3 linked regions of the Nothobranchius furzeri genome follow. The protein of the gene in region 1 binds, or shares a complex with, the protein of each later gene. Links are inferred from orthologs where the notes say so. Each region holds a gene or a part of one and is shown in the gene's direction. Other genes may lie near its edges.

Region 1 (3,654 bases):
TAGAGTGGCAGCAGGTGTCTTCTATATTCAGCCTTTTCAGAATATTCTAATTTTTTGAGATACCAAATGTGGAGTTTTCATTAGTTGTCACTTATGAATATCAAATTTAAATGTAATGAACATTGGAAATACATTGGTCTGTGTGCATTGCATGAATATAATGTACAAGTTTCACGTTTTGAATGGAATTACTGAAATATTTTCAACCTTTTGATGATATTCTAATTTACTGGCCAGCACCTGTATTTCTCCAAACTGAGGCTGTTTAAGCCTCTGCCCCAGAACCAGGATGTCAGATGATTCGTGTTTATTCTGGTCCTGCCCGTGTGAGCTAAAGACCCGAGTCAAGTGTCAGAACATCGTGTCACTTTCTTCTTCCTGCTGTTGCAGCTGGCTTTGAGGTGTGGCGCCGGACGGTGGAGGCCTTTGTGAAGCAGCTGTGTCTGCAGGAGCAGTACCTGAAGGCAGCGTCTCACCTGCTCTCCGTCAACAAACCGTACCAGGCTGTGGCGCTGCTGGAGTCCAACAAGCTCTACAGGTTCTGAAGCGCTGGACCAGACGGGTTCACCTGTAGGAACCCAGGTAGAACTGAGTGGTTCTGATGTTTGTCGGATGCTAACGGAGCGGTTCTGTGTGTCAGAGAGGCGATCGCTCTGGTTCTGGCCCGGCTGCCGGCAGATGAAGTGGTTCTGAAGAACCTGTACACGTCTTGGGCCGCTGTGTTGGAGAGAGACGGACATTTGTCTGCTGCTGCTAAATGGTCAGAACCTTCAGAACTTATGTAGAGCATCTGCTTTAGTGAACTAACGGGTTCTTCTGGTTCCGGTCCAGTTACCTCGCTGCTGGCTGTGGTTTCGATGCAGCCAAAGTCGTCTCCAGAAAGAACGACGTTCCGTCTCTGAGGACGGCCGCCAGCCTGGCCCGGATCTCCGGAGAGGAGGCTCTGGCCCAGTCGCTGGCTCTGAGATGTGCCAGAGACCTGGCTGCTGCTCACGACTGGGTCGGAGCGCAGGATGTTCTGGGCTCACAGCCGGGCCTTCTGGTGAGAACCCAACCAGAACCTTAGCGGGTCGTTTCAGGTAAAGATGCTGTTTGACCCCGGTTCTGTTCAGGTCCACAGGATCCACCTGTGTGTGGCTGAGCTGCTGGCGGCGCTGCTGGACAGCTCCGAGGTCTTCCCTCTGGCTCCCGGCGCCTCCAGCCATCCGTGGGCATCGCCAGGTCAGAGATCCACCCTCTTTCTGGACCGGGTCACTGATGTGTGGGAGGAGGAGTTCGGTGTTGGAGCCGACAGCGCAGATGTTCTGCTGCAGGACCTGAGGAGGGTGGAGAGTCCAACACCCAGCACCAGCATCCCCCTCAGACAGGTCCAGTCTGGCCCGGCACGGTCCAAAACAACAAACTTTCCATTCTTTAAATCAGCTGAAGTGCATGTGTCTCTATCGTCAGGTTCTGCTGTACTGCTCGGTCCACCTGACCCGGGCGCTGCTGAGCTGGTTGGTGGACGACGGCCAGCAGCTGTTGGAGGAGCTGTGGCGGGCGGCGTCCTGGCTCCGAGACGAGGGACACTTCTGTGTCTCTGCAGAGTTCTGCAGGCTGCTGTTCCCCGACGGTACCGAGCCCATTCGGACCTTTCCATTCACATTCAGCTCCAGATGATCAGAAACCCATAATTCTGTGTGTGTGTGTGTGTGTGTGTGGGTGTGTGTGTGTGTGTGTGTGTGTGTGTGTGGCCTACCACAGCCATCTGCTGGTGGTGATCTGCAACCATAACCCAAAACCACTGATTCATCCTTTTGGACCCGTGTGCTCACCAGAGACCGGGTCAGAAGCTACCTTCTCCATTTTTACTCTTTAATCAAACCGAGCCGTTTTGTTTTCCAGGAGACATCCGGGTTTTCTCCAGGAGACATTCCAAAACTCTTCATCCCACCACAGAAGCATCCAGTGCAGCGGCCAGCAGCCTGCAGGCGATGGTCTCCTACCACCGTCTGTACCGGTTCTGGTGGAGAGACTCGGCGGGCAGACAAGACGTCCAGAACGGACTTCCTTCTGAACAGCCAGAAGACCAGCTGGAGAACCCAGATTCGGAGGAACTGGACTTTGATGTGTCTGTCCTTCTGTCGGAGCCGCACGCCATCAGTCAGGCTGCTCACAGATCTGTGAAGGAGATCCAGGACCAGCTGGCCGCCATGGTTCTGCAGCACAACCGCGTCCTGGGGAGTCAGCTGGACTCTGGGATCCAACAGGACCAAAGTCCCTTATCAGACGGTCCGAGCGGTGCTGATGCGGAGCAGCGGTGAGGCTGTTTAACACCAGTGTCTCTCAATTTGTCCAATTATTAGATCTAATTAGATCTCACAACTAATCTGGTTGTTTATTCAGATTATTAAACAAAAACTCAGATTACAGAATTAACAAGTTCAAGTTTATTTATAAAGCGCCAAATCACGACAAGAGTCGTCTCGAGGACCTTCACATAATAAACATTCCAATTCAGGTCAGTTCATTAAGCCAATCAGAAATAATGTTTCCTATATAAGGAACCCAGCAGGTTGCATCAAGTCACTGACTGTTAGCGACTATACGGCAATCCTCATGCTAAGCAAACATTTAGCGACAGTGGAGAGGAAAACTCCCGTTTAACAGGAAGAAACCTCCAGAGAATCCTGGCTCAGTATAAGCAGCCATCCTCCACGACTCACTGGGGATCGAGAAGACAGATTTCTCTCTCTCTCACACACACCCACACACGAAATGTCCCCAGAGCTAATCTGGTGCCTGACTTTTAATTTGACCTTTGTGCTCTGTTCAGTTCGGAAAACCAGGAGACGTTTCTGTCTTTGTCCACAAAGATGTCCAAATATCAGAAGGAGCTGTCGGACCTGCCCGAATCCATCAAGGTAAAAAACACACACACACACACACACACACACACACACACACACACACACACACACACACACACACACACACACACACACACACACACACACACACACACACACACACACACACACACACACACACACACACACACACACACACACACACACACGTCTCCAGCTGCTGATCAGGAGTTAAAGCTTCATGAGGCTAAAGCAAAGCGGTGAAAACGAGTTTCCTCGTCCTGCTTTAACTCCGGACGGACGTTTACTAAACATCGTTCATTTTTTGCCGACTAAGTTCTTTCTGGTATTTTTGCTTTCCAGATGTTCCCTCGCCCAGATGTGGTGGAATGTTGCCTTGTTCTCCTTCATCTCAGCCGGTCTTCGTCATCCGTGTCCGACGTTCTCCAGGAGGAGGCCAAAGAAATGCTCCGTAAACACGGAAGCAGCCGCAGCGTTCTGAAGGCCATGCGGAGACTCTGCTCCTGATCGGAGCTCGTCATGCGCCGCTGCTGTCAAATAAAGAACTTTAGTAACGAACCCGGACTCCAGAGGGTTGATTTCAGCCGTTCCCTCCAACAGGAAGGAGAACCACTGATGAAAATGAAAACCGTTTGTTTCTTGAGTTCTAGAGCAGAGCCCGACCCGCTCCATAAAGAACAGGACAAACAAAGAGTTTACAATTAAAATACAAAACAGTTTAATGTACAACAGCTGAAAACCAAGCAGAACGTGAAACAGTGGAGCTGATGGATGACTGACACGT
Region 2 (3,754 bases), on another chromosome or scaffold:
GCCAGACCCATAGGTGCTATACTCTTCTCCAAGGCCAGATTAATGCAGAAACAACTTTATTGTATTTATCTATTTGAACTAAATTAATTAATACACATGACCTGCTTAGAGGCTTGATGGTCTTCTGAACTGGTATCAGCCATCAAATCAGGTGTGCTGGAGCAGGGAAACAACTAAAACATGCTGGATGGAAGAGCTCCAGGACCAGAGATTGAGAGAGCACTGCCCTGAAGACACCAGGATGTAAATCATTTGATGATTAATCCATACGTGTTTCTATTTCTACAGTACAGAATATTGCTATTTTTACCTCCACAGACAATGTTATAAATGTGGCAGGGTGGAGAAATGAGGGCCCGGGCGGGATTTGATCCCCAGGCTCCTGGGTGAGAGTCACGCACTCATACCAGTCAGCCAAAAGGACATCCCCTATGTCAAGTAGCCAGGGCACATGATCAATCGTGACACTGTGACAGGACACTCACACTGTCACATACACTGATCCTTGAAATTAAAGTTTTTGAGACATAAACAGCAGACTGAATAAATACCTGATATAATGTAGTAGGTGGATTAGAACCAGACTGGGTTATTTTGTATTTAAAGTGTAAAATCTGGATCCAACAAGCTTATTATGGGTCTCTGACTTCATGGTTTTCTACTGTAGCCTGGCCTGCCATACTCCTCCTCTGTTTAATTCTGCACAGAGTCTGGCAGGCCAGGCTAGTCCTACTGTAGAAAAAAAATGAAATGGGGAATATGAAAAACTGATCAGACTGTTTATAATACCGGGAAAATATGATATATGTATTTTGAGAACTAATAATAATAATAATAATAATAATAATTATTATTATTATTATTATTATTATTACTGACTACATTAATGCATATTCTAATACTGCTGTGTCTAAACTTTATTTTTCCTGCCACTTTATTTCATTCCAAAGCAGCACAATTCATTCCTGCAATATTCCAATTTTAAATCCCAGTTTTCCAGACTACAGCTCAAACAGCTCCCACTCCTTCGCACAGTCATATATGTTCGCCAGAAGAACGGGAATGTTGTATCTCTGTCGAGAACTTTTAATCAGACTCAGCTTTCAGCTGTGTGCGCTTTACCAAATGACTCTGACAATATGGCGGCGACGGGTCGCACCGCACGCTTACGTTACGTCAACTCTTTTACTACACTGTCACTGTGACGCTGCAGTGCACGTTGCTAGTTAGTTGCAATGTTGTAGCTATTAGCACGACAGCCATTCTTTTGCTGGGGGAGAGCCGACATTTGGTCAGAATAACTTTGAATTCTCGGCTGTTAAAAGATTAATTAACAGACAACGGCAGGACGTTACAGCTTTGATAACAACGCGCCAATTAGACGTTTCGTATTCCTCGGCTACTGGTTAGCCGACCTAGCTTGTAAGCCAGCCGTTAGCGACCAGCTAACTCTTCCTCTTTCGGTCTTCTGTCCTCTGTCCAGCTGGAGGAGCATGGCGATGAGACAGACCCCTCTCACCTGCTCCGGTCACACCCGGCCTGTGGTGGACCTGGCTTTCAGTGGAATCACTCCTTTTGGCTACTTCCTCATCAGCGCCTGCAAAGGTGAGTCCTCAAGCCGTCCAAATCCAAGGTGCTGCCCTGCTCAGGATCTTCATTTACCTGTCTCACTCACACAGACTTCTCTCACTTTGGTCCCTGACTTACCTGCGCCTCAAAAGAAACTTTGTAACGATTTATTTCAGATGTCTTTTTTTATGAAAATCCTATCTGCATTACTTGAATCACCTCAGATGTGTTCAGTTCACGATCTGGTTTCATTCTTTGAAGAATCACATTTCTTTCACAACTTTATATAAATACAAATTTGTCATCGTGTAGGAGTTTTCCTCTGTGTTCACCTACTTGTTTCCAAGCAAAAAGTGGAGATAATTTTTACCTGAAAAATTCTCTTCCATTACAAAAAAAAAAAAAAAAAAACAGTAAAATCATCACCATTCGTCTTAGGCTTCCCTTTCTGTCAGAATAGCCATATGACCCTCACCAAGTGTTCTGTCAGGGAGTGAGGGAAACGGGAAGGTGAATACCATGGCGAAAGTAATAAGCTACTGATGGTTACCATGGTGCCCCTAATAAGCCTCTGCTAGCAGCTTTAACATTTGTTGAGTTTGGTCCTCTTTACACATTCTATATAATTTAAGGCAGTGGCTGTTTCTCAGTGCTTAAGAGGACACTGTCCTGCAAGGATTAAAGAAAACGGTTACATGGAACAGACTTATCTCACGTGACCCGCCATCACGTCATGTGACATGTGAGGTAAAGTTAGATTTATATATATGTATAACTAGCCTTTAACTTTTTTAAATTATGTATATATTGGTTAAATTAAATATGTAAGCAAGTTACTACCCGCTTGCCACCGAATCTGCAACTGCAAAGCAACTGACCAACCATAGATAATTGCTTTGAATCTAAAAAAATATTTCAGATATCAGCCTGATAGCTACAATTAGTTGACTTGCATTTAAACTGGAAATTTGCCCCTGAAGTAGCTGCCGGCTCCTGATCCGCCATTCATTTGAAAATACTGTGGTGTATTCTGAGAAATGTTTCAGTCAGAGAAGGCAACAAGACACCTCCCATGTATTCTCAGTCAGTTAGCTAAACGGCGGACAAACGAAGGACAGACGCCTCTGTAGCACATGAACATTGGAACACGTCTTGGCGGTTCCTGATGACGTATCTCTTAGGCAACTGGGCTGGGACCAAGGCATCAAGGCGAGGTTCCTTGACCTTGAGAAACACCCAGTTTCTCAGCTCAGATTAATACAAAACTGATTTTTAACATTTTACACCAGCTGCTTGAAAGCCACTCAATGTCTTGAGAAAGTTCATATTAATGATCTTTTCATGGGAGTTTTAACAAGTACATCACCATCCCCTTCTTCCTTTTGTTAGATGGCAAGCCCATGTTGCGCCAGGGAGACACAGGGGACTGGATCGGAACGTTTCTGGGTCACAAAGGTGCGGTTTGGGGAGCCACTCTGAATACAGACGCCACCAAGGCAGCCACAGCTGCTGCAGACTTCACAGCGTGAGTGGGGTTCAGCTCTCGATGTAGAGATGCATGATTTGAATTTTGTTGGAAAATGCACTTTTTTCTTGTTTTTAACACTCTTAAAACGTTTAGCTGTAAAAACAAGTTGTCTTTTATTAATAATATATTCTCTTTCTACTCCCCTTCACTCACACACTCTGCAAATGTGCGTTTGGACTCATTGAGATTGTTGGACATACATATTTCAAAAAGGAAGTAAACTGAACCACTGAAAAAGAATTTCACTATCCCATTTACCAGACAAATCATAGCTTCTTAACTTTTTTCTTGTTCTTTATGTGTTATCTTAGAAACCTCAAAACAGAAAAATACAGCAAGTCACTTGGTGCAAGTGGTGCACCTAGGTGAAAGAAGATCAACTGTTACAAAATGAAAAAAAAAATACAAGATCACTCACAATCTCCCTCAACCTTGGGCTCCATGCAAGATCTCACCTTGTGTCATAAAAATGATCTTGTTTTCAGAGTAACTCTTAATTTTAACATTTCAGGAAAAAAAAAAAACGTGTTTAAATCATGCTAAAATTCCCACCAGCAGCATCCTCAAAGTCCTGGTGAAGAAAAACGATCTGTTTTGCATGTGTTTTAAAAAAAAAGAAAACCAACCTTTCTTTGTTTCTGTTACGTGTTTTCTATT
Region 3 (3,754 bases), on another chromosome or scaffold:
TAGCAATCAGACGAGAACGAATAGCTTTAAATTATTGGGCAAATCTTCAGGGTCAGGAAGAAGATCATCCAACACGAGACATACCAAAACCTTGCTGGGAGAAAGAAAAGAAGGAAACAACAAGTTTTGGATGGGTGATGATCAAAAAACCAGTAGAACTTAAATGAGATCGGTTTACAATCAGTCAAAGAGTTCCATTACCTGCTGTTCCGCCATGGATTCTTCCTGAGGCGTCTGTTGATTTATCATTATTAGAGAGAAAGAATATGGATAAGTCTTTCATACTAAACTCACATACAGCACAGGATTATATCGATCACTATTATAACTATGTAAAAATTTATACAGATTCTCGCAATCCTGTTAGCAGTTCGATGGGTGGAAGAAAACAGACCATTATTCTCAGTTATTTGTTCAGACTCCAGCTCATCATTAACCAGTTTAACGTGCAGCCATTCAGGAAGCAGACCAGACATACTCCTAGAGATTCAGCAAACACTTTATAGAATAAACACGATGGGACTTAAAGTACATTTTTTATGGATTCCAGCTCGTTGTGGAATCAGTGGAAATGAAGGAGTCGATAAGATGGCTAAGGAAGCTACAATAAATACTTCGGTTCAGTTAGATGTTCGATTTTGTCAGAAAGAGATGAAGAGCATAAAAAGGCGAGAAATGAAGAAAAAATGGCAAAAACAATGGGAGGAGGAAAGGAGGGGAAGATGGTTGTATAAAATTCAAAGAAGAGTAGGAGAAATAAGAAACACTGGAAGGAGTAGGAGAGAGGCGGTGATCATTTCTAGACTGAGGTTTGGACATACTGGGTTAAACAATACGTTATTCATGATGGGGAAACATAATACAGGGAAATGCGATTATTGTGGAGAAGAAGAAACTATAGTTCATGTTATATTACAATGTCGGAAGTATCAGGCAGGAAGAAGGACATTGATTCAAAATCTTAGACAGATCAAAGTGAAACTAGACCGACAGAATTCAAAAAGCGACTGTTTTCTGATTTTATTTCAGTTTTTAAAAGAGATAAGGATGTTTGGGAGAATTTGATGTATATATGTATTTGTATATATATGTGTATGTATGTGTGTGTATATATATGTATTTTTTTGTTCTTTCTTTCCCGTGTTTGATTTTGTTTTATGAGCGCTGTTCCAGACCACACTCCACACCAGTTGGTGGCGGTAATGCACCATTCGTTGTTCGCCAACCGCCAATAAAACACCAGAAGAAGAAGAAGATGGCGACTGTGCTGTAGTGAAACTTGCGTGTTTTTCATTACCTGATTCGGTTCCGCTGTTCTTTTACTTTATTAGAACATGAAGTCGGACGTGGAGGAGTTAATGCCGAGGCTCCTGCCGCTGGAGACCGGAGGCGGGAGCGGAAACCTGGACTTGAGTGGAACCCCCAGAAACCCCCAGGAGTACCTCCGACAGGTCCAGTATGTTCGAGCCGAACCGTCTCGAGAATCAGAACCATGTTCGACCACGGAGCTTTATAAGTTTGGTGTTTCATTAGGTTGGAGGCCTCTTTATGCCCGGAGGTGGTCGTTGCTCAGATCGATCCCACAAAACTGAAGAAGCAAACTGTTAATGTGTCGGTAAGTGACACACACACACACACACACACACACACACACACACACACACACACACACACACACACACACACCACATGTTTAACATGTTTTGGTTCCAGGTAGCAGGATGTCATGCTGCTCCTCAGGGCTTCTCCCCCAGCCTCAGGTGGCAACAGCAGCAAGTCAGTAACTTCTCTGACGTCAGACAGGTGAGACTTCACAGTAACACACGTTACGAACATGTCCACACAGTAACACACGTTACGAACATGTCCACACAGTAACACACGTTACGAACATGTCCACACTGGACAGTGTCCTTTAGTCACTTTTGTTTCTCAGAGCATCACCAAGAACAGGCAACACTGGAGGAGCCAAATTCTGGATGACAACGTGCAGATGGTGAGATTTTTATTCACTACTCAAACCGAAATCAGCATTCTTTCAAGGGGAGACAGAAATCCCATGTTAAGGTGGATTTGAAGCACCTGTAAGAATCTTGTCATGCAGCATCACACTGGAGGTTTGGTTTATGCAAGCTTGACGCTGGTGTCTTACAGCCGAGGCTGACCGATGAGGAGGGCTGGAAGAGGTTTTGTTTAGGGGAGAACGTTTATCAGGGAACTTCATCCGGCCCGACGGATGCACACCAAGAACCAGCATTGGACTACGGCAAGGTTATACAACTGTTTACACCTTATTGCCTTTGTGAGCGCTTACTCCTCAGAATGAGTTTACCTGATTTAAATCGATCAAAGCTGAGATGTTTCCACATTCTACTTCTCCCACAAAAGCAAACAATCTAAACAGATAAAGTGTATTTATTTAATCCTTTGATGATCCGCCACTCATGAAAATTCTGTGGCACCTTCATGAGACCAAGGAAGTGAAGTCTCACTGATGGTTTGTTTGGGTCTAGATTGGCTTCCCTCCCTTCCTGAGCATCGTAAGCAGACTAAACCAGGTAAACGGGGGTCTACGATGACATCCATGTTGTTTTTAGCCAGTTTAACAGTCTTAATATTTTTGTCTCAGTCCACAGTTCTCATGTTGTTAGATGTTCTGATCAGCTGGTTTGAAGAGCGAGAGTTTGTTCCACAGCTGGTGAGTTTGCTTCTCGTCTCCAGCTGGTTGACAACAAATCTAATGCTAGTGGAAATATAGTTTTTTAAATTTTCGCACGAAAATAAATTGTTAGAACTCCAGGGCCCTCATTCATCAAACAAACTTATGCACAGATCTGCACGTAGGAACAGTTTTACACACTGCATACATGTAGCGACATGAATGGCCATATTTGTGACCCAAAGGTCACACTTCCCCAGCTAGGTCACGCTGTCCTGGCTGAACTTCTGTCCACAGATTATCCATCACAGGAGACGCACAGTCTTCTAGAACCATCTTTAATCTGACTGCCTTTAATCTGTCTGCTGTTCCATCCTAAGATGAAGGACACTTCAAGATTTAAAATAATCATTTTTAATAAACTCTTTTCACTGTTTATTACAAGGTTCATAAATAATCATCACGGTTCATTATAAATGTATTTAATTACTGAAATGAATTATTATTCTTTGGTTAATAATTATTATTTATGATAATCAGTAATGTTTACCAGTGTAAAGAAGGTCATGTACACTTATACACACCATGCAGGACACTGAATTCAGGGTAAAGGTAACCACCTCACATGTCTTTGCTCCATAACCAAAGCTTTCTATCTCTGAGAGGGCGTGTTCTGAGTTTTAATAAAACCCAAAACTCCTCAGTTCAAGCTGACAGTTCTGAACCAACCAAAACCTCTCCGTGGCACGAGAGTCCCAGAGGACAAGGGTCGGCCGCCCGAAGCCTCCACTAAGCTGTTCTGTCACGCTGATAGAATCGCTCCGAATAAACGCCACCTGCACCAGCTGACACAAAACTCCTTCAGAGTTAAGACGCAAACTCAACACCTGTGTGCCAGCGGCAACTCTTGGACCAGAGAGTCGGTACCACTCGCGCCTTCCCTACCGGACCGAGTACCCAGAGGCTGACAACATCCTTCCTTGACCTCCGGATCCACACAGAGGGTCGCCTGATGGGTGAGGTAGAACACAGATTGCGTCTGATGCTGTCATCTCTAAGAAACAACTTAGTTAGCTGCAAAACAAACTCTTTCAC

Evidence for each region.
Region 2: gemin5 (region 1) and strap share a complex: the UniProt entries of both Homo sapiens proteins name them as parts of the SMN-Sm complex. The link is inferred for Nothobranchius furzeri from reciprocal best matches to the Homo sapiens genes GEMIN5 and STRAP.
Region 3: gemin5 (region 1) and gemin2 share a complex: the UniProt entries of both Homo sapiens proteins name them as parts of the SMN-Sm complex. The link is inferred for Nothobranchius furzeri from reciprocal best matches to the Homo sapiens genes GEMIN5 and GEMIN2.

What each region holds. Positions count from the first base shown.
Region 1 is NC_091750.1:72,369,189-72,372,842, forward strand, and holds the end of gemin5 (gem-associated protein 5), read left to right. Parts: intron 1-390; coding exon 391-538; intron 539-640; coding exon 641-760; intron 761-831; coding exon 832-1,042; intron 1,043-1,112; coding exon 1,113-1,367; intron 1,368-1,449; coding exon 1,450-1,612; intron 1,613-1,884; coding exon 1,885-2,299; intron 2,300-2,815; coding exon 2,816-2,903; intron 2,904-3,212; coding exon 3,213-3,377; 3' UTR 3,378-3,428; downstream 3,429-3,654. UniProt on the Homo sapiens protein: The SMN complex catalyzes the assembly of small nuclear ribonucleoproteins (snRNPs), the building blocks of the spliceosome, and thereby plays an important role in the splicing of cellular pre-mRNAs.
Region 2 is NC_091741.1:63,716,734-63,720,487, forward strand, and holds the start of strap (serine-threonine kinase receptor-associated protein), read left to right. Parts: upstream 1-1,198; 5' UTR 1,199-1,493; coding exon 1,494-1,605; intron 1,606-2,958; coding exon 2,959-3,094; intron 3,095-3,754. UniProt on the Homo sapiens protein: The SMN complex catalyzes the assembly of small nuclear ribonucleoproteins (snRNPs), the building blocks of the spliceosome, and thereby plays an important role in the splicing of cellular pre-mRNAs.
Region 3 is NC_091758.1:40,480,584-40,484,337, reverse strand, and holds the start of gemin2 (gem-associated protein 2), read left to right. Parts: upstream 1-1,213; 5' UTR 1,214-1,334; coding exon 1,335-1,456; intron 1,457-1,533; coding exon 1,534-1,615; intron 1,616-1,713; coding exon 1,714-1,803; intron 1,804-1,909; coding exon 1,910-1,996; intron 1,997-2,154; coding exon 2,155-2,271; intron 2,272-2,513; coding exon 2,514-2,558; intron 2,559-2,629; coding exon 2,630-2,698; intron 2,699-3,754. UniProt on the Homo sapiens protein: The SMN complex catalyzes the assembly of small nuclear ribonucleoproteins (snRNPs), the building blocks of the spliceosome, and thereby plays an important role in the splicing of cellular pre-mRNAs.